Rattus norvegicus: one gene and its partners. The protein of the gene in region 1 purifies or fractionates together with the protein of each later gene. This does not show direct contact. Links are inferred from orthologs where the notes say so. Each region holds a gene or a part of one and is shown in the gene's direction. Other genes may lie near its edges. The genes, in order: Vapa, Tacc1, Rassf3, Vps13c, Akap11, Lsg1 and Vps13a.

The links.
Region 2: the proteins of Vapa (region 1) and Tacc1 purify together in Homo sapiens (co-immunoprecipitation; 4 studies listed by BioGRID and IntAct, counting the BioPlex papers as one, with this or other methods). This does not show direct contact. The link is inferred for Rattus norvegicus from reciprocal best matches to the Homo sapiens genes VAPA and TACC1.
Region 3: the proteins of Vapa (region 1) and Rassf3 purify together in Homo sapiens (co-immunoprecipitation; 3 studies listed by BioGRID and IntAct, with this or other methods). This does not show direct contact. The link is inferred for Rattus norvegicus from reciprocal best matches to the Homo sapiens genes VAPA and RASSF3.
Region 4: the proteins of Vapa (region 1) and Vps13c purify together in Homo sapiens (co-immunoprecipitation; 3 studies listed by BioGRID and IntAct, counting the BioPlex papers as one, with this or other methods). This does not show direct contact. The link is inferred for Rattus norvegicus from reciprocal best matches to the Homo sapiens genes VAPA and VPS13C.
Region 5: the proteins of Vapa (region 1) and Akap11 purify together in Homo sapiens (co-immunoprecipitation; 3 studies listed by BioGRID and IntAct, counting the BioPlex papers as one, with this or other methods). This does not show direct contact. The link is inferred for Rattus norvegicus from reciprocal best matches to the Homo sapiens genes VAPA and AKAP11.
Region 6: the proteins of Vapa (region 1) and Lsg1 purify together in Homo sapiens (co-immunoprecipitation; 4 studies listed by BioGRID and IntAct, counting the BioPlex papers as one, with this or other methods). This does not show direct contact. The link is inferred for Rattus norvegicus from reciprocal best matches to the Homo sapiens genes VAPA and LSG1.
Region 7: the proteins of Vapa (region 1) and Vps13a purify together in Homo sapiens (co-immunoprecipitation; 3 studies listed by BioGRID and IntAct, counting the BioPlex papers as one, with this or other methods). This does not show direct contact. The link is inferred for Rattus norvegicus from reciprocal best matches to the Homo sapiens genes VAPA and VPS13A.

Annotation. Positions count from the first base shown.
Region 1 is NC_086027.1:112,633,827-112,637,780, reverse strand, and holds part of Vapa (vesicle-associated membrane protein-associated protein A), read left to right. Parts: intron 1-333; coding exon 334-486; intron 487-1,155; coding exon 1,156-1,259; intron 1,260-1,974; coding exon 1,975-2,055; intron 2,056-3,954. UniProt on the Homo sapiens protein: Endoplasmic reticulum (ER)-anchored protein that mediates the formation of contact sites between the ER and endosomes via interaction with FFAT motif-containing proteins such as STARD3 or WDR44.
Region 2 is NC_086034.1:73,545,922-73,550,675, forward strand, and holds the start of Tacc1 (transforming acidic coiled-coil-containing protein 1), read left to right. Parts: upstream 1-1,782; 5' UTR 1,783-2,025; coding exon 2,026-2,189; intron 2,190-3,104; coding exon 3,105-3,220; intron 3,221-4,754. UniProt on the Homo sapiens protein: Involved in transcription regulation induced by nuclear receptors, including in T3 thyroid hormone and all-trans retinoic acid pathways. Might promote the nuclear localization of the receptors.
Region 3 is NC_086025.1:58,826,818-58,830,771, reverse strand, and holds part of Rassf3 (ras association domain-containing protein 3), read left to right. Parts: intron 1-1,866; coding exon 1,867-1,974; intron 1,975-2,807; coding exon 2,808-3,030; intron 3,031-3,954.
Region 4 is NC_086026.1:77,530,320-77,533,784, forward strand, and holds the end of Vps13c (intermembrane lipid transfer protein VPS13C), read left to right. Parts: intron 1-142; coding exon 143-226; intron 227-470; coding exon 471-551; 3' UTR 552-2,690; downstream 2,691-3,465. UniProt on the Homo sapiens protein: Mediates the transfer of lipids between membranes at organelle contact sites. Necessary for proper mitochondrial function and maintenance of mitochondrial transmembrane potential.
Region 5 is NC_086033.1:60,344,686-60,348,639, reverse strand, and holds part of Akap11 (A-kinase anchor protein 11), read left to right. Parts: intron 1-1,567; coding exon 1,568-1,615; intron 1,616-3,249; coding exon 3,250-3,384; intron 3,385-3,954. UniProt on the Homo sapiens protein: Binds to type II regulatory subunits of protein kinase A and anchors/targets them.
Region 6 is NC_086029.1:83,647,262-83,651,701, forward strand, and holds the start of Lsg1 (large subunit GTPase 1 homolog), read left to right. Parts: upstream 1-1,548; 5' UTR 1,549-1,563; coding exon 1,564-1,662; intron 1,663-3,065; coding exon 3,066-3,192; intron 3,193-4,440. UniProt on the Homo sapiens protein: Functions as a GTPase. May act by mediating the release of NMD3 from the 60S ribosomal subunit after export into the cytoplasm during the 60S ribosomal subunit maturation.
Region 7 is NC_086019.1:223,404,957-223,408,910, reverse strand, and holds part of Vps13a (intermembrane lipid transfer protein VPS13A), read left to right. Parts: intron 1-998; coding exon 999-1,100; intron 1,101-2,706; coding exon 2,707-2,865; intron 2,866-2,987; coding exon 2,988-3,243; intron 3,244-3,954. UniProt on the Homo sapiens protein: Mediates the transfer of lipids between membranes at organelle contact sites. Binds phospholipids. Required for the formation or stabilization of ER-mitochondria contact sites which enable transfer of lipids between the ER and mitochondria.

The DNA of each region.
Region 1 (3,954 bases):
GACTGTCAGTCATGTGATGTGGTAGGAACATGAGGACAGTTTTGGCTGACAGGATGGCTCATTGGATGGAGATGCTTGTTGCCAAGCCTGAGGGATGGAGTTTGGTTTCTGGACCCCACATAATGAAAGGAGAACACTGGTTCTAAAAAGTTTCTTCTGATCTCCGTGTAGATAACCATGACACGTGTTCATACGTGCAACACACAAGCAACAATAAATAAATGTAACCAAAATTAAAAACCTAAAATCATAGTTACTTTGTGGATGAAATCACCAAAATAATGCTTTTGTGAATCCAGTTAATTTTCTTTTCCTCTGCCCCTTACCTTACAGGCCCCTTCACAGATGTAGTCACTACAAATCTTAAATTGCAGAATCCATCGGACAGAAAAGTGTGTTTCAAAGTGAAGACCACAGCGCCCCGCCGGTACTGCGTGCGGCCCAACAGTGGGGTTATTGACCCAGGGTCAATCGTGACTGTCTCAGGTAGCAGTTATGTCCTACACTAATGCAGTTTTGAATATTGACATTTTTATCTGTTTATTGTTTGGCTTCAGTTTTTGTCTAAAGGTTTTCCTTGGGTATCTGCCATATAAAATTTTACTGAAACTTTCCTACTCTGAGCTTGTGTGTGGGTGTGATTAGTTACTGTCAGTCTGAAGCATCATCTAGTCTCTGTTTCCATAACTGTCTTTCCACCGTAGTCTGTATTCTTACTCATCTTTGAAATGGCACTGTTTTGTGATTGAATCATGTTCTGTACATCCACAGAAGTGTTTTGAGGCCTTTGCTTAAAAAAATGTATGCCTGGGGCTGGGGATTTAGCTCAGTGGTAGAGCGCTTACCTAGGAGGCGTAAGGCCCTGGGTTCGGTCTAATTGTCAAGGAGTTAATGACTTTCTTTGTTTTCTTAAAATTAGATTTAAACAAATGAACACATTCTAAGTAATTGTTTAAAATCCAGTTTAAAAATGGGTTATATTAAAAGTGTTTCAGTTATCCAAATTAGAATCAGCAGAAAATGAATTTACTAATAATTGAAAGTTATAACGTGGCTTGTGCATCTTGAGACTACTACGTTTGAGTTTGACCCCATCTTGCTATTACGCTTGTGTGTTGCTGTGGTGGTGATCATGTGCCCTCTCTCTTTGTTTAGTAATGCTGCAGCCCTTTGACTATGATCCGAACGAAAAGAGTAAACATAAGTTCATGGTACAGACAATTTTTGCTCCACCAAACATTTCAGATATGGAAGCTGTGGTAAGTGTAGAAGTTGTATTTTTGGAGCTGTGGTTTAAATTTGTTTTGTTTAACTCTCAACAATCCTGACTTCCTTGCCAAAAATTAATTATCAGAACAAAATTAAAATTTAAACAATTAAAAAGCCTTTTAGTTTTTTGACACCCCCCCGCCCCCCCAAAAAAAAAAAAGGAAGACATGATTCTGCCTGTTCTGGAACTTTGTAGACCAAGGCTGACTTTGAACTTAAGAGAGATCCTCTTGCCTCTGCGTCTTCCATCACAGAGCTGGAAGGCATGCATGGCCCACCAAGCCTGAAATACTGTTCCTTGGGAACCATTTAGAAACACTAAGGTGAAGAAGACTCGTGTGTGTTGCCTTCCATTGCATTCTGTGGGTCAGAGGTCAGCTGGGTCAGGCTGGCCTCCCAGTCTGTCTACCACACAGTGTGGCTCCTAGGATGGACTCAGGCCACCAGGGTGGCAGCAGTACCCTTGCCTTCCTGGGCCCAGTGTCAGTGTGGCTTTAATTGATGGTGATGGCAGAGACACTGGTACATGATTGTAGGCGACCTGCAGTCAACTCCAGCCAGCAGCAGCCGAGCTTTCGCTTCCTGACGGGGCCGTTGTCTAAGCCACCGTTCCCAGGCTTCAGTTGTCCCCTCTGGTGAGACCTGAGTGCCACATGCTCTCTTTTCTCATCTTTGGATTTTTGTTTTGTTTCTTTTTCCTTTTAGTGGAAAGAGGCAAAACCTGACGAACTAATGGATTCTAAACTGAGATGTGTATTTGAGATGCCGAATGAAAACGATAAGCTGGTGAGTAAGAAAGAAACCTTGGTCGGTCATCAGCCTCTGACACTGGGCTTGTAGTGCCTGGTCATTTTATGAGACGTAAAAAGCTTGATAATGCTATTTCCAATTTATGATATTTTGTTTGCCCAAGAAGAAGTAAATATTACACGGTAGGTCCAAATTTCAGTGTGGAAAGAATTTCTGAGAATGCTCTCAAATTCTGAAATCATGTCTTTATCCTTTTTCTTAAAGAATAAGACATGCATATGCAGATACAGCTATAAAATCAGGGCTTCTTTTTGGGTAATCATCAATATTCTTGGACTAAAATATATAATTTACAGGGATAAGTCATCTTCCCCCCAGTTTAGCCTTTGCCAAACACTTTGCATATTTTTGTCTTCTGATCAAAATCAATTTTATTTTTTAGTGAATAATTGCTTATTGATTAGCATTAAGCAACTACATATTTGGGGGGGCTGAAGGATAGATATGTTTTTGTAGCAGACCAGTGGCCTATGCTCTATATAATATAAATTAAAAAATTTTTAAAAGTATTTTATTTTATGTGTATGGTTGCTTTGCCTTTATGTATATCTGTGCTTGTGTGGTGCCCTCAGAGACCAGAGAGGGCATAGGTTTCAATGCTTTTGAATTGCCATGGGTGGGTGCTGGCAATGGAACCCCAGGCCTTGTGGAAGAAGAGTAGCCATCTCTCCAAACCCAAGGATTTTTCATTTTTTCTGTGGTTTGTAGGAGGGACTATAGAACAAAGTTTTTGTGTGGATTGAAATGTATAAAATACTGTGGGTAAATGTAATTGGTATAATTTGGTTATAGTCTGGTATGACTCTTGCTTTGATCTGGTAACTTGTTTGCTCTATTCAGAGTAAACTATATTTCTTGATAAGAAAGCTGAAATAAAAATGCTCATAAACGTTAGTTAGGTATTGACCAGTAAATGACTTAAGTTTTCAACACATCTTTTTTTTTTTTTTTTTTTTTTTTTTCCGGAGCTGGGGACCGAACCCAGGGCCTTGCGCTTGCTAGGCAAGTGCTCTACCACTGAGCTAAATCCCCAACCCCTTCAACACATCTTTTTAAAGTGAATCAGAACCATAATTGCCAGAGTAAGAAGTACAGTGTTTAGACTTTATATGTTAGTTTCCCTGTTTATCTGTGCTGGCTCCAAAGATAATAGCTTCCATTGCTTTTTGTATTTAACAACCAAAGATAAATTTATCTTGATTGACATTACTGTAAAAGTGATTTGGGGATATTAATAATAATAGTAGTAGTTATTATTACTATTACTACTACTTTTGTTTTTTAAGACAGAGTTTCTCTGTATAACCCTGGTGACTTGGAACTCACTCTGTAGATCAGGCTGGCCTCAAATTGAGATCTGCATTGCCTCTGTCTCCTAACTGGGATTACCACCAGTCAGGCTTAGTCCCTACATTCTTCTTCTTAGATTGGTTTATTAGACCTTCCTTTCTTTCTTTCTTTCTTTTTTTTTTTTTTTTTTTTTTTTTGTTCTTTTTTTCGGAGCTGGGGACTGAACCCAGGGCCTTGTGCTTCCTAGGCAAGCGCTCTACCACTGAGCTAAATCCCCAACCCCTTATTAGACCTTTCAAGTTGGCTCTTAGCACTTAAACCAAGTAATCATTAGTGACCTCTCATTTTTAACATTTTTATTATATATATTAGCTATACATAATAGGTTTCACTGTTATTTTCATATATCTACATAATCTAGTTTGATCATGTTCAATGCCCTTGTTTTTCTTCTGCCCCCTCATGGATTCCTTTCCTTTTTCTGACTGGCCTTACTGCTACTCAGATGCTTTTTGGATCAGGCTGTCACAGGAGAATTGTTCAGTTTTGTTTACATGGCTTTGTTCGCCTCACTAGTGACAGTGA
Region 2 (4,754 bases), on another chromosome or scaffold:
TGGAATTTAGGGCCCAGAGGCCTGCGAAGGAGCTGCTCCCTCTGAGGTACATCCCCAGTGTGAATTTGTGTTTTTACCATCTCTTAGGTGTTCTTGGGCATACAAATTTTATATTTGGAACTCTGCTGATGGTGACTAGGGAAGCAGGATTAACCAGACGGAGAAAGCCCTGAGGGACAGACAGCCCTGAGGGGCAGACAGACACTAAGTCTAACCAGTTAGGGAGTGCAGGAACTATGCAAGGATGGGGGAGGAGGGAAAAGAGGAGAGGGTAGCACTCTCGAAGAGGAAGAATGATCAAGACCAGGTATCGACTTACATGTGTACTATTTTTAAGCTACAGATACACGTGTCAAATCCAGGAATCTAAGGGATTTCTAGTCTGAAGATTTACTTGATCATAAACCCAAGACGGCGACAGCTGGGTAGTGTTGGCATATTTGGTGTAGACCTAAAACAAAATGTCTTCTGCTCACATTGTAAAAAAAGTCGGGGTTGGGGATTTAGCTCAGTGGTAGAGCGCTTGCCTTGTGGGTCCCCAGCTCTGAAAAAAAGAAAAAAAAGTCTTTCGACACTCTTTGACAGTCAATGTGTATCTCAGGCAAGAAGCAGTAGTGGATTCTAAAGCATCCTCCTGCTATTATTATTATTATTATTATTATTATTATTATTACTATGGTAGGATACCTGCCAAGCCTTATCTTACATGTTTGCTCATCTTTGTTATGGAGTGTATAAGACATTTGCGATTTGTCTGCAGTCCACGTAGTGCCAACTCCTTTCAGGGGAGATCAGCAGCGTCCTGCAAATTTTAGCCTGACCTTGTCCTGAATTTTGGAGGCACACACACTCTCTGTGGGAACTGTAGCCACATCATAAATTTCTCCGAGACTCTGAGAAATGTCAGTCCTACGGGAAACACTCGGATGAACTAATAGTCTCAGACTTGGCTTTGGAGAAAATGGATTCACTGGGAGAGAGGGCCTGGGGCAGTCTCTTAGTGGAATTCCTCAAAGATAAAGGGAAAAATTCTTCTTTTCAAAGATAAACGCCTTAACTCAGAAGACTGCTGTCACCAGACCTGCTGGTTCTGTACTGAAGACCTCTGTACTGCAAACCAAGGACCCAAGAATTATCAGAAAAAAAAAAAAAAGCTTAAAGTTATGAAAAGAAAGGACAACGGGAAATCGCTCAGGCTGTCTTGTCAGGGGGCAATTTTGCATCTATCCCAGGTCATGCCTCTCTGGAGGCCTCCATGAGTGTGGTTTGGTACCAGCAAGCATCTTCAATTCTTGTCTTGCCCGGGAGCTTTCCAAATCCTGGGAGTAACAAGGATGGAGATGACCAGTGTCAAGGAGCGGGTACAACACTCTTCAGAGAGTCCGAGTGTTTTTTTTTTTTTGTTTGTTTGTTTGTTTTTTTAATTAAATAGGGGTCTTAACTCCGGTGCGGTGCAGTGTCAGTCACGCCATTAAGTCCTAGCGGCAGGAAGCTCAGATAAAAGGGGAAGAGGAACGGCGCCGCGGCGCGCACACGCTCGGAAATGGATGTCGGCAACGCGCTGCGCGCTGCAGGCGCGGGTCCCGCCGGGAGGGCGAGCGCGGTCGAGCAGCCCCTGCCCAAGGCCGGGCGCGACCAGCGCGGCAGGGGGAGCGCGCTTCCAAGCGGCCGCCCCCGCGCGCCGCGCCAGTAGTTCGGTCCGAGGGGGCGGCTCCAGGGGCGCGGCTCCGCAGCGGCCGAGGCTGCTCCAGGCGGGAGCGGACCCCAGAGCCTGTCGTCTCAGAGCAGGACTGGGGGACAGGCAGGCGGGCGGGCGCGCGCGGGGGCGAGCTTCGGCGCGGCGGCCCCGAGGAGCGGGGGCGAGCGGCGCTGCGGGGCCGTGGGAGGAAGCGCTGCGCCCGGCCCGACGGCGCTCGTTGAGCCACATCCGCGGGTCGCCGGCGACGTTGCCGGCGCCTGTCAAGGCCCCTCCATTTTGAAGGAAGAGGCCGCCGTTTCCCCACCGCAGGGGCGGTAGCCGCGCTCATGGCGTTCAGTCCCTGGCAGATCCTGTCGCCCGTGCAGTGGGCCAAGTGGACGTGGTCCGCGGTGCGCGGTTCGGGCGCGGGAGAGGACGAAGCTGGAGGTCCCGAAGGCGACCCCGAGGAGGAAGAGGACTCGCAAGCCGAGACCAAATCCCTGAGTTTCAGGCAAGTACACCGCATCCCAGCCGAGATGCAGCCGCGCGCCATCCTCCCACCGCGGTCATGCTGTGTGCGCGCAACCGTGCTCCGGGCTCTGCTGCGTCCTGCCCGCAGCCGGGTCCCCGCTGTGTACCCGAAAGTTCGGGATGTTCTGTCTGCCCGTGTGCTTTTCGTCCCCTGTCTTCGCTGTGAGCTTTCTGTACCCAGCCCCGAATCCGCAGTCTCCGCATCCTGGTTTGCCTGGGTCGCTTTCTCTAAGCGTCGACACCCCGGTTCCGACGCAGCCACACCGGTTAGTGTCAGTTGATAAGGCCAAGTGGGATTTGGAGCTTTTACCCTTGTGGGCAAGAAATCGCTCCTCCGCCCTCCTTGGCCCCGCAGTGTCCTAAAATGCAGCGTTGGTAAAAGAGGATCGCGTGATGACAGGCCCCTGGCAGCTGGTGAGAAATGGTGGTCTCTGCTGAGCTGTCACACGTGTGATTGTGGAAGGCAGGTGACGGCATTTTCAGCCTCCAGTGACTTTGAGACAGGTAGAGGCCTACCAAGGGAAAACAGCATAGCTAGAACTGGCTTAGTTTGGGGGTGGGGCGATATTTTACGCCCCTGGAAAAGGGTATGGTGAGGAAAGGAGTTGATTGGGAAGTTTTTTTTCCTTTTCTTTTCTTTTCTGGTTATAAAAGGCAGAGATGACCTTAAAAAAACAAGTGGTCGTGGTGAGAAGCTCCAGAGGACGAAAGAGATTTCGGGGAACTAGGATGCTGGGCATCGCTGAAAATGATGCAGCCGTTCTCAGGCTGGGTTGAGGATTGGTTGGTTGTAAAGTTAGAGGCGCTGTACTTGCACTTTTGTGGCTGAGTACATTTTAAAGGCAGTTGGAAATACCGTTGACTGTGGTAATGCCTCGTTTTTCCCCCCTGGCAGCTCGGATTCTGAAGGTAATTTTGAGACTCCTGAAGCTGAAACTCCAATCAGATCGTCTCTCAAGGAGTCTTGTGATTCATCACTAGGATTGTCAGAACCCGAGGCCAAACCCCAAGGTAACAAAACTTGAATTTTCTACCTCTTCGGTTTTAACTTAAGGAAAGGGGGAAAAAAGGACACAAAAAAAGGGGTGTTATGTGTGTGCAGTGAGGACCACTTCAGACAGGATGGACTGGGTCCTTGCTCCAGAAGAGGTTGCCCTAAAGTTCTTGCTGATTTGGAAGGCATTTTGCTTTTTGTTTTTGTAAAATAAACCTTTTGATCGTTTGATGATCCAAAGCTTGCTTTATTCTCTGACTAGAGATCGTGCTTTTGGAGTATGAGATTAATCATATTTTCAACCACTCCTGTTAAGACTTCCTTCTAGACCCTGAATAAGTAAAAATGTAGCAGCGACTGGGCTGGTTATGTTTTAGATTTGGCCTCAAAGATTTCAGAGACTACTTTTCTACAAGGGTGTGGCTAGACACAAAATTATAGGTAAGAGTTGATTTTTGAGTTAGGAATCTTAGGCAGTTTCAAAATTGCTTGCCTTTCTCCCGCAGAGGACCAGTGGGGAGCCCTTCAGTCTAACCAAGAAAATCCGTCACACATACTGTCCTTCCCTACCCCCACCCCTACCCCTCAGTCCAAACTAGTACCTGCCCTTTAGTTCTCAATGCCTCTGGCCCACTACATTAATGGAAATCTTTTTTTTTTTTTTTTTCTCTAAAGGCAGGATTTCAGATAGCCCAGGCTGGCCTTGGAGGGAAGCTATCTTAGTCAGGGTTCCGTTGCTGGGAAGAGACACATGACAAAGGCAACTCTTTTAAGGACATTTAATTGGGGCTGGCTTACAGGCTCAGAGGTTCAGTCCATTATCATCAAGGCAGAGGACATGGCATGGTAGCTTCCAGGCAGGCATGGCACTGGCGGAGCTGAGAGGGCTGGGTTTTCATCTGAAGGCTGCTAGGAAAAGACCAGCCCCCAAGTAACTAGTAGGAAGGTCTCAGATCCCACCCCAACAGTGACACACTCCCTCCAACAAGGCCACACCTCCTAATAGTGCCATTCCCTGAGCCAAACATAAAAAACCACTACAGAATGGAACCTTTACGGGTTAAAAGCAAAATACCTGTCTGGTTCTATTAAGTACTGTAGAGAAGGATGGGCGGGGGTAGGAGGAGGTATGGGCCTGTGGGCCTGACTGGTAAAGGCTGGAAGTTAGAGGAGCTGACTTGAACAGAGTCCTAGAAGGGGAGAAGTGAGGAGACAAAACGTGTGTGTATTATTGGGAGGAGAATCCTTTCAGCAAAGGGAACAGTGCTTGCAAAGAAGCATCCTGTAAGTGGTGAGGCCCTGGGGTGTGGTTCTGGAGGAGCAGGCAGAGGCCAGTGTGCCCAAGAGGGATAACTAGGCTGCGGGTAGAAATGGGAGCTGATGTCAGCAAGGGGAGAGGAAGGGCCACGTGATGCCATGATGACGATCTGATTTTCTGAGCGAGCTGGAGAGCATCTGAACAAAACGCCATAACCGAGTGGCTCAGAACAAGGGGTCCATTCTTACTCACAGTTCGGGGGTGGGAAATCTGAAGTGTGGGCAAAGTCATGT
Region 3 (3,954 bases), on another chromosome or scaffold:
TGGGTAATTTCGCCAGCTTTGTGCGTGGTTACGTGATCCAGTGTGGTGCCTGGCATCCTTGGCTCTCCAGATGCTACAGTTGGGATTGTGGGTACATGGATTCATCTGTCCTAGTTAGGTTTCCATTGCTGGGATAAGACGATGGCCAAAAGCAACTTGGGGAGGAAAGGGGTTTACATTTTCTTAGAGTTTGTAGTGCATCATCCAGAGAAGTCAGTGCATCAGAGCTCAAGGCAGGACTGATGGTGGAGGCCATTGAGGTCTGCTTACTTACTGGCTTGCTGTACTGTCTGGTCCTGTGTGTCAACTTGACCCAAGCTGGTGTTATCACAGAGAATGGAGCCTCCCTTGAGGAAATGCCTCCATGAGATCCAGCTGTAAGGCATTTTCTCAATTAGTGATCAAAGATGGGCGGGTCCGTTTTGGGCGGTGCCATCCCTGGGCTGGTGGTCTTGGGTTCTATAAGAAAGCAGGCTGAGCAAGCCAGGGGAAGCAAGCCAGTAGGTAACATCCCTCCATGGCCTCTACATCAGCTCCTGCTTCCTGCCCTGTGTGAGTTCCAGTCCTGACTTCCTTTGGTGATGAACAGCAATGGGGAAGTGTAAGCTGAATAAATCCTTTCCTCCCCAACTTGCTTCTTGGTCATGATGATTGTGCAGGAATAAAAACCCTGACTAAGACAGACACCTGGCTTGCTTTTGTAAAGTGCCCAGGACCACCAGTCCATGTGTGACTCCACCCACAGTATGCTAGATCCTCCCACATCAATCACCCAATCAAGAAAATGCGCCACAGGCTGACCCACAGTTGAGGGCAGTGGGGGGCATTTTCTCATTTGAAGTTCCTTCTTCCCTACCTCCTTCTACCCTGTGTCAAGTTGACATAAGATCAGGCAGGACAAATATGCATTGATTGGGATCTTCGAGGATTTTTTTTTTTTTTTTTCCGGAGCTGGGGATAGAACCCAGGGCCTTGCGCTTGCTAGGCAAGTGCTCTACCGCTGAGCTAAATCCCCAACCCCGATTGGGATCTTTAGATAATAAATTATTAGTGATTTCTAAAGGATCAGGAAAGAACTTAACCAGTAAGCATTTCCCCTTTTGCGTTATGGGGAAAGAAAGGCCGAAGAAAATAGGGTATGGGGACAAGTAGACAGCATGGTGGGGTAGAGAGAACCTGGTCACATGTTATTTAGAAGGTAAATATACCCTCTGGTAGTGGTGCACAGTCTGACAGGTCGGTTACTATTGCCAGTTACTTAGTATTCGTTCCCTACTTTCTGCTAGTGCGTACTGTAAAGCTGTAGAGACCATGGCATTAATAAAATGTACCTAGGAGAAGCTTTCGGTGTGCCAGGCATAGTGGCTCACAACTTTAATCTCAGCAGCACTCAGGAAGCAGAGGCAGGCAGGTTTCTGTTAGTAGTTCTAGGCCAGCCTGGTTTATATAGTAAGTTCCAGGCCAGCCAGGGCCGCGCAATGAGGCCCTGTCTCAGAAGTAAACATGAAGGTAAACGAATACCCCTTAGAGGTCGAAGTGCCCCGCAGCCTAGCAGATGTTCTGCAGAACTTTACTTTTACAGAAGGAATCTGGCAAAGGCAGATTTGCGGACTAATATTTATTGAAGTGCTGTTTCCAGTTGCTGGTGGATTGACTTCATTCCGCTACCCCTAGGAAGACGGGTGTGAAGAATGAGGCGTGCTTGGCAGATGAACCTGGTGTGCTGGCTGATAGACTAGAGTTGCCTGTGTCTCGGGGAGAAATGCGTCTGCTGCTCTTTTGTGAAACACAGATGAAACCTGGTTTATCTGCACCTTCCCCCCAGTGTGGTTCTTCATGCATGATCACGGACGGTTTTTCTTCTAGGATGTGGAGAAGGAGAAGGAAACACACAATTACCTCAGCAAAGAGGAAATCAAAGAGAAAGTGCATAAGTACAATTTAGCCGTCACAGATAAGCTGAAGATGACCTTAGTAAGTACTCCTTCCTGGTTCACCTGGCTCTCACTGACAGACGGCTGGGGGCAGGGAGCTGGCTAGGGACGGGGTATGAGCATGTGCGGATATCTGTCTGTCTGTCTGTCTGTGTAAAAGTACAAGCTGGCAGGGCTGGTAGGTTTGATCCCTGAGACTCGTGAAAAAAAGGCCAGATGGAGCGGTGCACATCTGTAATGCCAACACTCCTACAGAGAAATGGAGAATTGAGCTTTCAGGACCATTCTCCTGGAATACCCAAGAGCTGCAGTAGCAGCAGCCGCAGCAAGAACACAGTGAGGGACCCCGCCTTGACCAGGTGGGAGTGTCTGACCCACTGGGCACAAGGGTGTAGCAACAGTGCCATCTGCTGTGTCCCCTTGCCGCTGGGAATAAAGCTAGTCTATTTTCCTAGTGTCAACACAATGCTGACTTGGGTGTCTCAGAGCCCTCGCTGTGACCTTCCTCTCTGTGGAAGGTTGGTGTTGAGCACAGAGCTGAGACACGCTCCAGGCTTCAGGGCAGCTCTGGTCTGGCAGGCGCGGACCACGCAGGACAGTGTCTTCCTCAATGGGTGCTGATCCATCACAGGAAGCTTTGGAAGCACAAACCTCAGGGCTAGCGCTCCAGGACATCCTGGAGCATCCTCCACAGCATCCACCCTGCAGATCTTGTATTAATCCCCCACTGAGGGAGCCCCTCTCTGCTCTCTTTGGTGAAATCGTTTTCGAGACAAAACTGGGTAAAAGCTGTTCGCCTTCCCATGGGGCTTAGATCTGCTCCTTTCCCAGCCTGCCGACCGCCCACTCAGTATGCCTTTCTTTACTCTCCAGAATTCAAACGGGATTTACACTGGCTTCATTAAGGTGCAGATGGAACTCTGCAAACCTGCCCAGACCCCTGCCAACCCCAGCAGCAGTGGCTGCATGAACACGCTTCATATCAGCAGCACAAACACCGTGGGAGACGTGATCGACGCGCTGCTCAAGAAGTTTCAGGTGACCGAGAGTCCCACCAAGTTTGCGCTTTATAAGCGTTGTCACAGGGAAGACCAAGGTACGTGGCCACGCTTCAAATGAAAGCGGTCCCTCTGTTCCTGTCTTTCTTACTCATTAGCAGAAGGAAGGGCAGCCGAGAGGTGCCTCGTCAGAGGCCAGGGACAGAGTGTGGGAGCCACACTCTGATGTCAGACATTTATGATTGCGTTAGGCCTGAGGGGCTTTGAGGCATCTGTGTGCAGCGGGCATGCGTGGAGGATTTGTTGCTGGTATTGCCGCACAGAGGGACAGGTTTGGTGAGAGCATGTTAGCGATGAATTTAATGCCCTTTAACGCACCAAGGAACACTTAGGTGGTTGAAGTTTTCAGTGATGATTTACATTTGAAGCTCATGTACACGTGCTAAGGCTGGAGAGGCCAAGAGGCACACGTACAACTCACATGCAAAAACCAAGCAATGTTGACCCCAGGTCTGCTTGAGCCTACACGAATGCCCAGTGAATAGAGCGCACATTAGGTTACTTCAGGAAGCGGGATGGGATCTCCCGGGCAGCAGTTGGAATGGAAGTTGGTGTCTATAGTCCCTGCAGTAAGTAGCAGTAAGCCACTTAAGTTTTCTCTGGGAAAAGCCTTAAAGCAGCCATCGAAGAAAATGTACTGACTTTGACATGATAGGAATGTCCCTTAGCTACACAGGGTGACGCACAGCTTTTCCCAAGTGTGTACATTTGTTAAAGAAAGGCTCTTTGGAACAGAAAAATAGGCAAGTCAGAAGCCACGGGCTCAGCAGCCTAGCGAGGAGGGGCAGCTGCCAGGAAACTACAGTGCAATTGCATCTGAAGTGCTAAGGGACACAGGGAAGACCTGACGACATTTTTAGCTTGCCAGCAACTTGGCCAGCACAGGTGGACATCAGCCACACAATCTAAAATGGCAGTGTCCTGCTAAGCCGTCACCCTCACGGCTGGTAAATCTTCCGACA
Region 4 (3,465 bases), on another chromosome or scaffold:
CGTACTTAGATGTATGCATCCATTGGTGTAGTGCTTATGAAATAAGTTGACATTTAAGCATCCAATGAAAGATTATGGTATTTTTTTTCTTCTAAAGAATAATTCCTTTTTTTTTTTTTGTCATTATTTCTTTTAAAAACAGGAGCAGGGTCTTTTCCATAAAAAAGACAGTGCCAATGTAGGTTATCTTCGGAAAATTTACCTGAAGGATCCCATCACAGCCAAGGTAAACTGTTTTAACGCCTCTCCCTCATGCCCCAAGGTTTTTAACCAGAAGACCTTTACAAGCCGGTAACAGCTAGTCTGGCATTACCCTCACTCATTCTCTAATGCTTCAGGGTAGTTGGCGCATACCTCATGTGTGGGTGGTAGCCTGGTCCTTGTCCTCCTGCATGGAGACTGGCATCTCTGCCTTCCCTCGGGTGAGCCAGAGGTCACCTTTCAGTTGATAACCCTGCTTTGCCTTCCAGAGAGCCTTTGAAGCCATCGAGAGCGCGCAGTCAGCCAGGCAGCAGCAGAGGCTGATGAGGCAGTCGTCAGTGAAGCAGTGAAGCTCCTCAGGCCCCAGCTTCCATCTTGACCACGGATCTTACAAGGCTTCTGAGGGAGACAACCGCTTCAGAAGTCCTGCTAAAGAGAACCTTTCCAGCCAGTCTGGGCTGGCTTTTTTTTTTTTTTTTTTTTTTGACTCAATTTTGAGTCTTGGTTTTGCAATCCTGCATGTATTAGGAATTTACTGCTACATGTGTAGGTCAGACCTCAAAGAAATACCACTTTGCCTCAGAGAGACTTGTTCATTAATATTAAAATTGTAAAGCAAAGAGCGGTGGGCTTGTTTTTAATTAGTCTTTTCTGAAGAAAGGAGATTTTTAAAACGAGTAGTGTCCTCTGAAAGGTTTTAGCCAGATAAATAGTGGACACTCTGACATTTGCTTAAAGGTAATTTGTACAATAATTGAACTAAGAGAGCACTTTCGGTAAACCCGGCGATTGACTGAAGAAATGCACCTACAGGAGAGACGGCTCATTTTCTATGTTCTTTTTATGCAAATGTTATTTTTATCCTAATAGGATGAGTTTTACATGGTGCTTTTTCTTTCTCCTTTCCATCTAATCTCAGAACAGGGGCAGTCTGGCGCCGGCTGTCTACAGTGAGGCACCCAGTGTGTGTCTGTCAGAGTGGGTGCTTTCAGGATGAACTCATGAGCACAATTAGAGATTTCTGAGGAATGAAAACTGAGAAATTGCACTGTAAGCTCCTCGGCATTCAGGAATATATAAAATGCAACTTTTTTTTTTAATATTTCCAGAGATTTATTTTAGAGTATAAAAGACTGCAAAGGGTGTCATAAATTAACATTTAATTCTAATGCATACCTGTAAATGTCTTTTAAATACCTGTTAGGAAGAGTGAAAACTCTCTACTTTATTATAGGATTTTTAAAGGTCTGTACAGAGTTGAGATCAGGTGTTCTCTGCGTCCATCCAGCAGCTCTGAGGCCTGTTAGGTCAGGGCTGCCTGTTGGCAGGTTAGGCAGGGGGCCAGGGGCTGCCTGTTACTCTAAGGGATTTTATTTCCTTGGGGGGCCTTTAGCTTTGTTCAGGGAGTTGAACATTTAGTTAAAGCGCACAGTCAGCTATGAGATGAGGAACGTGTGGATGTCCTTGTCTTGCTCTGCCTTAGTCGATTCAGGTCCTCCTTCCACACTCAATGCCAGTCACGCTTTTAGGACTGCAGGAAGACTTCTTAGCTCCCCACTGCTGCTTCACGTTTCTCTGAGGGAGAGTGAGAAATCTGTCTGGGGGTTGGGGATTTAGCTCAGTGGTAGAGCAGCGCTTGCCTAGCAAGCGCAAGGCCCTGAATTCCGTCCCCAGCTCCGGAAAAAAAAAAAAAAAAGAAAAACGAGAAATCTGATTTTTAGTAGCTGTTACATTTTTAATTCCTTTCCTTTCCTTTCCTTTCCTTTCCTTTCCTTTCCTTTCCTTTCCTTTCCTTTCCTTTCCTTTCTTTTCCTCACCATGCCCCCCCAACTCCAGTTTCCTTCCTTCTTTCCTTCCTTCCTTCCTTCCTCCTTCCTTCCTTCCTTCCTTCCTTCCTTCCTTCCTTCCTTCCTTCTTTCCTTCCTTCCTTTTAATAGGGTTTCACAATGTAGAGCAGGCTGGCCTTGAACTCACAAAGATCTGCCTACCTCTGCCTCCCAAGTGTTGGGATCAAAGACATGCACCACTGTGCCTAGCTTAATACCTTTATTCCTGTTAAGAAAATAATTACATATAAAACTGATAGCTTTAAACCTAATTGAACTTTAGAGCTAGAAGGCAGTGAAAAGCCTTCTAGCAAACACAGTAGCTATGTCTTTAAAACTGAGTCAATCAGGAATTTGAATATCTGACTACATTTTTCATGTTAATCACAGCTGTCAATGGGATCGTAAATATTTAAGGCATTATATTGCACTGATGGTTTATTCCAGAAACAAGTGTACAGAACATTAGACTAAGAGCAGTCAAGTCTATAAACTTGTTATCTAAGTTGACAATCTTCTGTGGCGTTTTTATTTGATTCAGTGTTCTGGTATAGGAGTTACCCATTGGTTGGATGTAATTAGGTGTGTGGTCTTTTTTACAAATGCATTCAGAGACAGTGACTTGCTTATAACCTGAGAAAAATAAAACATTGTTACATTGTTTATATGTGTGGGATCTGTGTTTGCGTTAAATACTGAAGTCACATTCTCTTTTATTTCAATTTTCCTCTTTCTCCTTCTGCTCTCAGGATAGTCAGAAGATAGGTGAAACACTGCAGGGGGTTTTACAAGGAGCTGGTGAGGGAAAGCCTATTCCTGGGCTCTGAGACCCCCACCCCCACCTCCCTACTGGAGCTGTGTGGCCCAGCTGCAGCATTGCACTGAGCTCCTGCTTGTCACTGGGGAGAGCAACAAGGATGCTAAGGTTTTGGAGATCTGGAGTGCTTCTCCCAATGCTTCTCTTGAAACCCCCTTAGTCTCCCACTGGGCACCCATAGTACCAGTCTGAAGGCCCGTCAGGCACCGCGTCCTCAGGTGGGAAGAGGAGACTCACATGCGGCCTGTAGCAAGGCAGATATATCAAAATCCAAAGTGAGCAACACACGGGAAGAACACCCTTAGGCTTTCTAAGAACCTGATCTGGGATAGACTTCTTACCTGAGACTCCCAGGATGGTGGTGTTCTAGTTTAAATTATGTTTGAGAGACTACTAATATCTTCGTGATACTGTGGGACTTTAAGTTCACTGATCTCTGGACATCTGGTGTTTCGTTTTATTGTTTTGTTGCTAACAAAGCTCCATGTATGCTTCTGAGGCACAGCCAGAACTAAAAGGTAATGAGCTGACAGACTCAAAGTTTGCCAGATATCAGTACCAGTCAGGCATTGCAGTTACTGCCTGAGCTACAAGAACTGTCTTCATCTTGGAGAGAAAGAT
Region 5 (3,954 bases), on another chromosome or scaffold:
ATTAGATGGGTATGGGGTTGGAAGTCAATCTGGGATTAATTGAGGCAAGCAAAAATGCTCAAAATACATTGTGTGAAATTCTTAAATAACTAATAAAATGTTATTTAAAATGAAGTACCTGTTTTAATTAGTAGCTGACATTGATCAACTGTTCTTATTAGCTGTTGGTAAGTGCATAGGCACTACTGGCCTTTCACTGGGCAGGTAGGGCTTATCCAGTGGCCGCTGCTTTAATACAGTTTCTTTTCTCTTGAAAGGAAAAAATACACTTATTTCATGTAGACACTTTTTAAATCTTTTTCTTGACTGTCTCGGTGCTTTGATTTAAAGTATAAAGTGGTAAGTTTATCTTCAGAATTAAGATACTCGCACTTGGAAATGTGTGTGTGTGGGGGGGTGAGTTTTACATACCTTGCTTACCTATTTCTCTGCAATAGCAATTGTTTTTAATCTTTGTTTGAATTTGTTGTTGCTAAAAAGTGATTTTTTAAAAAGCATCTGTATTCCATCATCACATTCATATTACAAATTGGAATATAATATTGAGGGCTGAGAGTATAGCTTAAGAGTAGATCACTTGCCTAGCATGTGCAAAGCCTCAAGTTTAGTATTGGGTCTTCACAGGTTTCTGTTCCTTGAGGAATTCTTTATGGGAAAAGCTTCCTTCTCTAGAAAGAGGAGCATGCCTGTTAAATGAGTCGCATCCTGCCACCTGGATCTCCTCACTGGATTTCTGCGCACCTCCCTTTACTTTTCTCTCTGTAGGGCAGAGCACTCTTACTCTGCCTCCTGCCTGCCCTCAGTTTTGTAGCCTGTATCCTTGGTTGTTGTCAAGCTGCTCTTCCAGCCTGTTCCACGAGATCTTCCATATCACCAGAAGGAGCAGGCTCCCTTGGTACCTTCAGGGCCCGCGGTTATCGTAGTCTCCCTTTTGTGTTCAGCAAGGAAACTTGAAAGGATAGGAGAGATTTCTGTTCCATTTTAGGGTATGCATATCTCAAATATCTAAGGTTTTTTCCTTCCCAGTGTACTGGTTCATTTTAAGTATGTGAGCGTATGAAGTGTTGCTGTCTAGTGAGGAGGGAACCTGGGGAATCTACACAGGGAAGGTCTCTAAGAAGGCTGCTGGAACTCATAGGAACTTGTAGAATGAAGAGGGGCCAGGCCTAGAATGGTCCGAGGAAAACATTCATATCAAGGGGACACCACTGCAAGGACCTTAAGGAGTCACGTACAGGGCATGTGCTAGATGTAGAAAGGAGTCTCATGGGTTTGAATGAAATGAGGGCAGGCTGAAGGCTTCCATTAACAACTCTGGGAAGCATGGACAAGAGGCATGGCAGTGGACAAGTCCAGTGATGGTGAAAGTAAGAACACATGGCAGTGACGATGAGGATCAGGAGGGAGAGGGAAAGGTGAATGGTGAAGCTACAATCTTGGTCATTGGAAACACTGCCTGCCCCGTGTTTAGTACCATAGTACCATGCTTATACTGTGCCTTGTCAACATCCTGACCCAGGACTTAAAAACAGTAAACTAATGGAGGGGTTTTTTTTTTTTAATTCAGATCACATTTCTGGGCTTTAATGAAGAAACAGATGCTGCTCATATGAAGGTAGGGTCAATTTATTGAATTGGCAAAGACAGTGGGAGACTACTTAAATTTTGGAGACTGAAAATTTTACTGTAGAGCTCAAATTTTACAGTCAGCCAGGCATAATGGTGCATGCCTTTAGTTCCAGCACTCAGGAGGCAAAGGCAGGCTGAACTTTTGTTCAGGACCAGTGGCTGGTCTGTACAGTGTGTTCCAGGCCAACCAGGGCTACATAGTCTCTTTCCCTATCCCGAACCCCCAGAAACAAAGATAACATTTGAGTGTGATCTTTACATCTTCAATTTCAGCATTTTTACTAAGGATTCCTTTTTTGTTATTTATGAGACAAGGTCTTGTCAGATATCTTTGCTGTGGCCTTAAACTTGTAGAAAGCCTGCTGCCTCCACCTCCCAAGTGCAGGGATAACAACCGTGTGCTACCGTGACTAGCTTTCGTTGATAACTCTTGCTAAGGAAAGAAGATTTAAATTTCACTATTGAAATCATTTTTCTGAATCTTTAAACCACAGGCCATTTTCTCGATTCTGTTTATTATATTGCATGTAACATTTGTATATTTTGACAGTTTTCATAATTTGATTTAGTAGTAAAGTTCTGTATTTTTAGTGAAGTAGAATTAAGTATAAAAGGTCAGATTTGTAAAAGGTGTCAATGTTTGCACATTTATAAGTTTGTGCACATTTCATGTAGGCGTTTATAGGGGACTGGTAGTTGAGGTTAGCAGCCGTGAAGGGATGGCTGACATTACACAAATCACTGCAGAGTTCCCCTGTGCTGCTGCTAGACAGCTGGCAGGTTGTGTTAGTCCTCCCTGGTGAGGTCATCTGCAGCTTCTGTCTCGATTTTCATAGCAGAAGGAAGAACTGGTTTAACAGCAACAGGGAGGGCACACTCTCCAGAACAGCATGTAGATATATAACTGGACTCTCAAGGCTGATGCAGGAGTGTCACTGTGAGAGTCCGGCTTCGGCTGCATAGTTCTGAGCCAGCACCATCTACAGAGTGACACTGTTTCAGAAACAAAACAAACAGCACACCTCTGGTGGCCCTCAGGAGCTGTAGACAGGACCACCTGTATGAAGCCTCTACTCTCTGTGGGGCAAAGACTGGAGAGAACCTTGAGCTGGAAAAAATAATTAAAAAAAAAAAAAAGAGGAAAGTTAAGAGAAAAGAAAGGTAGCTCTCCTTTAACCTGCATAAACTCTTTGAAGGCTTTCTACAATACCTTCGGGAAAGTGGACTTACAGTTTAAAGAGATAAAACTTTATCCCTGAAGGGTTTTAGTGGCTAAGACTTCTATATGAAAAACTCCAGAATCAGACCAAAGGATGTTAGGGTGACAACTGCTAAAATCATTTAAACGCTGATCTCCTTAGCTGTGGGAGGTGGCCTGTTAAGGTTGATGGGGTAGCTCAGTAGCCACATGCTGGAAAGGCTCTAAAGCATCACTGAGTAACCTTGGCCTTGTGTGAGTTAGAAAATGACTGCAGGCACACTGTTAAAGTGTGCAGCCCTTACAAAGCAGGCAGCTTATTGACCAGTACACTTCATGGGCTTTGGCTATGGACAGTTTGTGGAAACCTTGACTGTTACTCTGTGGTGTTGATCGTTACTGTTACTGTCATTTAAAATTAGGATCTAGCTGCAGTTTCACTAGAACTTCCAGATCTTCTGAATTCGCTCCATTTCTGCAGTCTAAGTGAAAATGAAATCATTTGTATGAAGGATACCAATAAATCTTCTGATGTAAGCAGTAGTCCTCTAAATCAGGTAACTAGAGGATCATTTCTAATCTGCTTTTTGGGGGCAGATTTTTACTATATTTGCTTAGTAATAGTAAGTGATTGAAGCTTTCCTTGTTTTAGTCTCAAGGAAATGGTATTGATGAAAGTCTAACTCACAAAGCATTGCCAGCCTTGAAGTATAAAATTATTTTGATCATTGCGTATAAACTAAATTCCTGCCAGCAAAGTTCCGTCAGTGGTGTGCAAGCACATAACTAATTTTTAGTGAAATATTCCTGTTCGGATTTCTTTGTACAACTGGAGGGACTGCTCCTGCTTTATGCCCGTCTTACACACATTTATATGTGGTGCAAACTGAACGGACTTCTTGTTAACTTTCTAATGAACAATCTTCCATGCAAAATGTTGCTTTCATAAGACAGCCTTTATTTAGTTCATCACTAAATATTTTTGATAATGTACCAAAGAAAAAGGCTTTTCATTTTAGGAAGTAAGATATCTACAATTGTATGAGTAGGTTTACAATTGGGAGAACTCACTCCAGCTATGAAATACTGTCCTTTGTGAGGTCTAGTGGTTCGAGCTGTGCCTGGTC
Region 6 (4,440 bases), on another chromosome or scaffold:
GAGAGAGAGAGACAGACAGACAGACAGACAGACAGACACATCATAATCACAACTTATGAATCAGTCTGTTAAGCTTATTCCTAGGAAATTTCTGTACACATTAAAGCTAGAAAAGTACCAGACTAGGTGCCTTCCTGATGTTTTTCTTAATTGTTTTAACTGACAAGTAAAAATTGTGTGTATATATGTGTGTGTATTTGTGCATACATATGTATATATGTGTATACATATATGTGCATGTGCATATATATATTTATGTGCCACCTAGTTATATTTTAGCGTTATACATAGATTAATCAAACAAGTTAGCAACAATGACTTCTAAAATACATGTTGACCGAGTCCTCTCAATAATACGGAAGAGTAACAAGACTCATGTTCCATTCCCGACATTGCCTATCTTTGATCTATAGCTGGTCGATTCCTGACACTGCCTATCTTAGATTTATAGCCAGTCGATTCCTGACATTGCCTATCTTTGACCTATAGCCGGTCAATTCCAGACACTGCCTATCTTTGACCTATAGCCGGTCAATTCCAGACACTGCCTATCTTTGATCTATAGCCGGTAAAAACTCCTTCCACGGCTGAGCAGCATGTTACAGTGGTCTCCCCAGTAATGAGAATGTTATTCAGCACCAACTACTATACACTTATTTCTTTTTTAGACAGGGTCTCACTGTGTAGCCCTGACTGTCCTGGAGCTCTCTTTGTGAAGATTCCGTGTCCCAAGTGCTAGGATTAAAGATGTGTGTCACCATGCCAGACTTTTTATATACACATTACGAGGAAAGCTGACGATCGGTTGGGGCACTAAATATCTATTAGTGAAGACAGCTCACTAAAGACAGCTTTAATTTTAATTATAAAAAATGTTGATACAATGCTTAATATCTCTCTCTCTCTCTCTCTCTCTCTCTCTCTCTCTCTCTCTCTCTCTCTCTCTCTCTCTCTCTTCCCTCGCTCTCTTCCTCCCTCTCTACCTCCCTCCCTTCCCCTAAAAGCGCCGGCTTTTGTTCTCAACTTTCAAGTTCTGAAAATGATACCCATTCTAAACTCTCAACCATGTGTGAACTTTTCTCCCCGCTCCGCAACTACAGAATGCTAGGAAAACAAAAACTGAGCTGAAAAACCAGCATCAGGAAACTTCTGCCACCTAGAGCCACAGAAACACCCCTTCACCCGAGGGCCCTCCTCCCGTCGAAAGTGCTGCGAACGTGAGCGGTCATATTTTCCAGTTGGCCCAATTTCCCGCCGGACTTTAAACAGTGACGTACAAGTCTGGAATGTACCATTCTCTTAAGTCGGTCAATCTATCAAAAGGGGAACAGTCGAAGGAGTAGCCATAAGGAATCCTCCCGATCGATTTTTACATTTCTTCTCTATAGTACTGTTAAACTCTGGCTCTACCAAAATCATCCTGAAGCAAGTCATTCAATACCCTGCAGCTTCACTTCGGAACTGTACTACTTAGACTCGCTCTTACGTCACTTCCTGGTTCACAGCCAGGGAAACCGGAAGCCTCACGCGCTGAGAAGTGGTTCGTGCTGCTGATACGCTGTTATGGGCCGGAGAAGAGCGCCGGGTGGTGGGTCACTGGGTCGGGTACTTATCCGGCATCAGACTCAACGAAGCCGCAGTCACCGTCATACTGACTCCTGGGTAAGAACGTCCGTGCTCTCCATATTCTTCCCGTCTCGTTCTGAGAGCCTCCATGCTACAAAAGTTGTAGCTAGAAGTCACGCCTGAACAGGAATTCGAAGCAGACACCGACAAGGCGCAGGGCGCAGAGAGGCTTTAAAACAGAGCTAGTGTGTAATAAAGTAGGAGTGAAAACATGAAGAGCCTTTCATGTTAGAATGTTTCCCTGTGTTTGGCTTTTGCCCTAGATGCCATGGACGCTCTTGGAAATTTCTATAAAGAAAATTACGTGTTATCGTAAAATTTTGAAACAGAGTGTCCGTATGCAGCGAAGAGTGGCCCAGAACTGCCTTCCTCCTGCCTGTGCCTGGAGAGTCCTGGATTTACAAGCCGTGGCTACCACGCTTGGATCTTTAAACTGAGATTTTTAGTTATCCAGAGAATCGATCCAATGGAAGTGATTGGTTCCATCAGAAGAACAAATAAATCCGATCCCTGCTTTCCCTTGTTTTGCCCCCTTGGAGTTTATCTTAAGGAATTGACATTGTCTCTAGAAGCTTAGGAAAGATCGTAGTAGGAGCCTTAAGAAGTAAATGAAATAGAGAAATTAATTCTAGCAGAGTATTTGAGGGCATTCTGAGTCCTCACTAAGGTCTTGTACTGAAGTTGTTTGTCCCTGGTACATGTCCATCACACCGTCCCATTTCCAAACAGATACTGTGAGGAATACACGCATGCTTCTCAGTGTTCAAGTCTGGACATTGATGACTAATCCTCTCACCTGGTTTTGTGGTGACCTATCAATGTACTAACCTTTGGGAAATAGTGGAGAGGTTTAATTTTAATCTAAAGAAATCCCCTAGGAAGCGCAAGGCCCTGGGTTCGGTCCCCAGCTCCGAAAAAAAGAACCAAAAAAAAAAGAAATCCTAACTTGTATCCTGATTTTTGTTAATTCTAAGCTTTCAATCCTTAATTTCGTTTTTAAAAAACTATGTTTGACCCATATAAGCATATAACTTAGGGTGGTGTATATCAAACTCTGGGTTTACAACTATAGGCAAATTATTTTACCTATTTAAACCTGTTTTCTTGATGGTAAAATGAGAACACAATAAAATTCGTTTCAAAAGAGTCAGAAAATAAAATTATAGGATAAAAGGGAAATGCTCTTGCTGAGATAAGAAAGTGTTCATTTAAATATTTGATCTTGGGTTTTTGTACTGCCGGATATCAACACCATTGACAGCAACAGGCAAGTATTTTGCTGAGCTGGGCCCCCCTCTTAGCTAGCGTTAGGTATTGGTAGTATACATTTAGAAGAGTCAACCACCTTGAGAACATAGACCAGTAAAAGCAAAGGTAGAGCCTGTGGATGCCAGGCGCAGGAGAGAGCTGCCTCACTCTTTGCTCTGTTTTATTCGTAGCTGCATACGAGTGAACTCAATGATGGTTATGATTGGGGACGTCTGAATCTTCAGTCAGTGACGGAACAGAGCTCCCTCGAGGACTTTCTTGCAACTGCAGAACTTGCAGGGACGGAGTTCGTGGCTGGTGAGTTGTTTATTACCTGGTGCCTGTGACACTGGCCACACCGCCATCTTGCTCACTTCAAATGAATCCAAAAAGCAGTATGGGGCGGTCCCATGGGTGTAAGGTAAAGTCAACACTGGTTTTTAAATTCACCTCTAAAGAACACTTCAGATGTCAGGCATGGTGGTGCATGCCTTTAATCCCAGCACTCTGGAAGCAGAAGCAGATGGATGGATCCTCTGTGAGTTCCAGACCAGCCAAGGTTACATTACATAGTGAGACCCCGGCTCAAACACAGAACAAATACCACTTCAGATTGTAATTCACCATTGAGTTCAAAACATCCTTGCTGCTGTCTGGAACCTTGTGTTGTAAGTGCGTGCACTCAGTCACTGACAGATACTATTATGTATTTCTCTTACTATTACAGATGTTGTGCTCCTTAGAAAGTCATTCGTTTATTTGTTCCAAATGCCTTTATTTAGAATCAGTTACTCTCATTCATTGTGCTGGCTACTCAGAGAATGTTAAGAGATACATTTTATTCATTTTTAAAAATATTCTTTTATATGTTTTGAAAGAAGTCTAAGAAACAGCAGGCTCCTAGTAGTTTCTGACAAGATTGGGTGATGAGCAGGAGACAACTGTTCAGATTGGTGCACACCTATGATCCCAGCACCTGGGCAGCACTTGCCCTAAGTTTGAGGCAAGCCTGGGCTACAAATAATAAATCCCCAGCCTGGGCTACATAACAAAACCCTATCTCCAAACAAAAGACACAGGCAGGCAGAGGCATCCAGACAGGATGTGAAATGGCAATCTACTTTGTTGAGAAAATTGTCACAAGTTTGGTTGTGCTGGTGCAGGGGACAGGTGTTAATGAGCACAGACACTGAGGGGGTGGGCAAGGGCCATATTCCCAGGAGGAAGAAAGGGAAGGCTAGGTATGGTGACCCATGCCTTTTACCACAGAGTGCAGAAGGCAGAGGTAAGTGAATGTCAGGGAGTTTGAGACTAGCCTGATCTATATAGTGAGGACTTGTCTTTTAAGGGGTTGGGGATAAAGGGTTCTTTATAGGTTTTTAGGCAATTAATGACAGACATAGTTTCAGATTTCATTTTCTGGTAGGTTTTGTTTGAGGGGAGCTTTTGTTTTGATTTGGGGGTTTGGGAGGGGATAGTCATGCTACCCACCTCCTAGCTTTATGAAGTTATGGTACACGATATGTCTTAATATACATACACAGTGTATGGGAGGTGACTTTCAAG
Region 7 (3,954 bases), on another chromosome or scaffold:
ACTCTAATTCTAAACCCCACAAAATTTTTTTTTCGAGAGAAAAAAGGAACCACAGTAAATATTTTTTACCTTAGAATTTATAAAATTATTTTCATGGATATTTCAGATAAAATTAATTATGAAAGAGGCTGGAAATACAGGTCAGTCATGGGATATATGTATGTGTAGCACTAATCTTAATACCAGTGCTGCAGAAACAGAAAAATTACATGGTTATCTCCAGTAATACTTAATTAAAATTATTTCACTTCATATTTATTAGAAAATAATCTAATAGTCTATATTATAAAAGTGAGGGTGAAAATTTAAAAGCTTCTATTTTTAAATGAAATAGAATTATGTCCTAACAGAATCGTAACTGATTATGACAACACTGCATGTTTTTAAATTGTGGTTAGGATTATAGGCATTTTGTAGAGGACTTCATCTGTGCTATCTAAGAGGTTCAGGGCTCTCAAACACTGAAATCAAGCGGAGGGCAGGAAAGTTCATTACAGTACCACAGACACACTGCATCTTAAATCATAGTCATTGGTAGTAGATTGGCAAGTTTTCAGGTGTCAGTCATAGGTAATAGATGAATGCAGGACTTGCTGCTTGGTACAGGAGAGGCAGCAATGAACGGTGTGCTTTTGAAAGGGTTATAGGGTTTATAGAAAGACTCTGGCAACCAGGGTTCAATTCCCAGGACCCATGTGGTGGAAAAAGAAAGAACTGACTCCTATAAGTTCTCTTCTGACTGAAATATGTGTACATATGTGTAAATAAATGAATGTTAAAAGGAGGTTCTGTTGTACTTAAATGTGAAGGTGAAATTTGGTCTCCAAAGGTAAGCCAAATGAAGAAAGGATGGAAGGAGTATGTATACACAGCTACTGACACGTAGATGATACAGAAGAACTAGCACACTCACAAGGCATGGTGGCGAGAGATAGCACTTTAAAATTATTTTACATAATAGAATGTTTTATTTCAAAAACTAAAAATTCTCATTTTAGGTTCACTATTTTAATGAAATGTTCGGTGTTTGGGAACCTTTACTGGAACCCTTAGAAATTGATCAGAGTGATGATTTTAGACCTTGGAATCTTGGCATCAAGGTATGTATATGTATGTTATTTTCTTAAAGGAGTTTCAGGTTTGCTACAGAATTGTCAAGTATAGTTCCTGAATATATCCTCTTCATATATTTAGCCTTATTAACAGGCTCAATCAAATTATATTTGTAGTCTGAGAAAGAGCTTAAAAGGAAAAGCTTTCCAGAGCTTTTGAGGATATCCATACTACATTACACAGTTTATTTTATTTATTTGCTTATTTACTGATTCATTTGTTATTTGTTTGTGGGTGGTTGATTCGTATGAATATATGTTTGTACAACATACGCCTTCCTAGTGTCCACAAAGGCCAGAAGGGATCAGAACCTCTGGAACTGGAGTCAGACCATTGTGAGCTGTGAGTCACACTTGGGTCCTCTGCAAGAAAGCAAGTATTTAACCACTGAGCCATCTCTTAAGCCCCATATAAGACCAGAGATGAAACAGGTTTCCTTAAAGTGAAAGAATGTTGACTATTGCCCTACACTATAGCTATGGTCAATCCCAAATTTTCTTTGTTCTGTGAGTGGACTAATTCATTCCTTCCTTCCTTCCTTCCTTCCTTCTTCCCTCCCTCCCTCCCTCCCTCCCTCCCTCCCTCCCTCCCTCCCTCCCTCCCTTCCTTCCTCCCTCCCTCCCTCCCTCCCTCTCTCCTCCTTCCCTCTCCTTTTTTCTTTCCTTCCTACTTTGTACCTCCCTCCTTCATCCCTACCTTTCCCTAATTTTCTCCCCCTCTACTATTTCTTCCTCTCTATACCCCATTGAACATAGTATGTCATGTGTTTTAATAAATTGTGAATTTATTTAATCCTAAGAATCTGTGCCTTTAAATAGGTGAAGTTGTGCTTGTAAAGCAAGAAATTATCTAATTATAACAATGCTTCCTACCTATTGATGGACTCTACTTGTAGACACATCTTTAGGACCTTAAAGTAATGTAAAATATCCCTGAGCTCAAGGCCAGCATTGTCTACAGACGAGTTCTAGGATAGGTAGGACTACACAGAGAAGCTCTGTCTTGAATAACCAAGAGAAAACAAAAAGTAAGGTATAATAACAACTGAATATCTTAGCATGCCTACCATATCATATTTAAATGATTTCATTTAATTCTTTAGGTTATGTCAGATGATTTTGTTAAACTAATTTCATTGGTAGTTTTTAAATTAGACTGTATATGGGCCACATTTTTTGAAAGAAGTAGATAGTGCATAATCTTACAAATTCCCCAATACCACGTTGCTTTGCTACTTGTGTGTGACTGTGTCAGTCCCTAGTTCTGTTTCCGTTACCAATACCCTAAACTGTCTCCGTGACTGTTGTGAAGTGTATGCTCTTGATTTACCTGAAGATTCCATATATTCTTAGTTACTTTCAAAGTTTTTCTTTCTTCTAAATTATCAAATTTATTGTATAGAATTTATTTTCCTTTAGTATTTCCTCCTGTCAGCTTTGTGACACTACTTGGTAAGTCCAGGAAATTTCATCAGGCAGTGTAACCCATGGGTCCATAACTCTCTCTCTAATGATATTTGTTGTTATTTTACAGATAAGTTATGTTATACTCCAAAGACAATTCTTTTATTTCTAATTTTACTTTATCCTTTAGATGAAAAAGAAAGCAAAAGAGGCCATTGTTGAGTCTGATAGTGAAGAAGAGAACTACAAAGTACCAGAATATAAGACTGCCATAAGTTTTTTTTCCAGAGACCAATTAAACATTACACTGTCCAAATGTGGCCTTGTGATGTTAAGTAATTTAGTTGAGGTAAGAAAATACAAGTATTTGAAACTTTAGGTATTGAAACAATGAGTGAAGTTGTTATTTATCTAGTTACTATTCTCATGAACTTGTCCCCTGTGTCATTTATTCCCCAATTTCCCTGTTAGGCATTCACTGAAGCTGCTACTGGATCTTCAGCTGTCTTCCTCAGAGATCTAGCACCATTTATGATTTTAAATTCTCTTGGACTTACTGTCTCTGTTTCACCAAGTGATTCTTTTCACGTACTTAATGTTCCTTTGGCAAAATCATATGAACTGAAAAACGAAGAAAGTTTAAGTATGGATTATGTCCGAACTAAGGACAATGATCATTTCAATGCAATGACCAGCCTAAGCAGCAAGCTCTTCTTCATTCTCCTTAGTAAGTGAGATCTTTCCTTCTTGGGGCTTTGTAAAGTTATTTTCACTTTTGTAAAGCAATTTTACTTATTTGTAGTACCTTAGTAGTTTTTTTTTATAACAATATGTTTTCTAATACATTGGAAACTATATTAATTACCTTTCTGTTAGTGAGATAAAACAGTATGCCTGATGCAAGTGACAGCAGGAGGACTGTTTGACCTTATGGTTCCAGAATGTGAGAGTCTCTGAGGGCAGAGTAGAGGCAGCAGGCATGGAGATTGCAATAACAAGGGAGCATTCACATGGTGAACTGCAAAGAACAGAATGACAGTGGATCACTTCCTCCAGAAGGCCACACCTCCTAGTATTTCTTAAACAGCACTGCCTGGTAGGAACCATTTATTCAAATGCCAGAACCATGAGAAAACAATTTCATTCAAACCACCAAAGGGACATTATAGTCCTCTCCAGTATGTTGATTTCTTTGGTCATTAAATCTTGGTATTTCTTTTTTTTTTTTTTAAGAAATCTATTTATTTTATTTTATTTTTTGGATATTTTATATATTTAAATTTCAAATGTTATCTGCTTTCTCCTCTTGAATACCCCTTCTCCCCTCCCCCTGCTTCTATGAAGATGCTCCCACTCCCTCCCATCCACTCCCACCTTAACACCCTGGCATTTCCCTACACTGAGTCATCAAGCCTTCACAGGACCAAGGGCTTTTCCT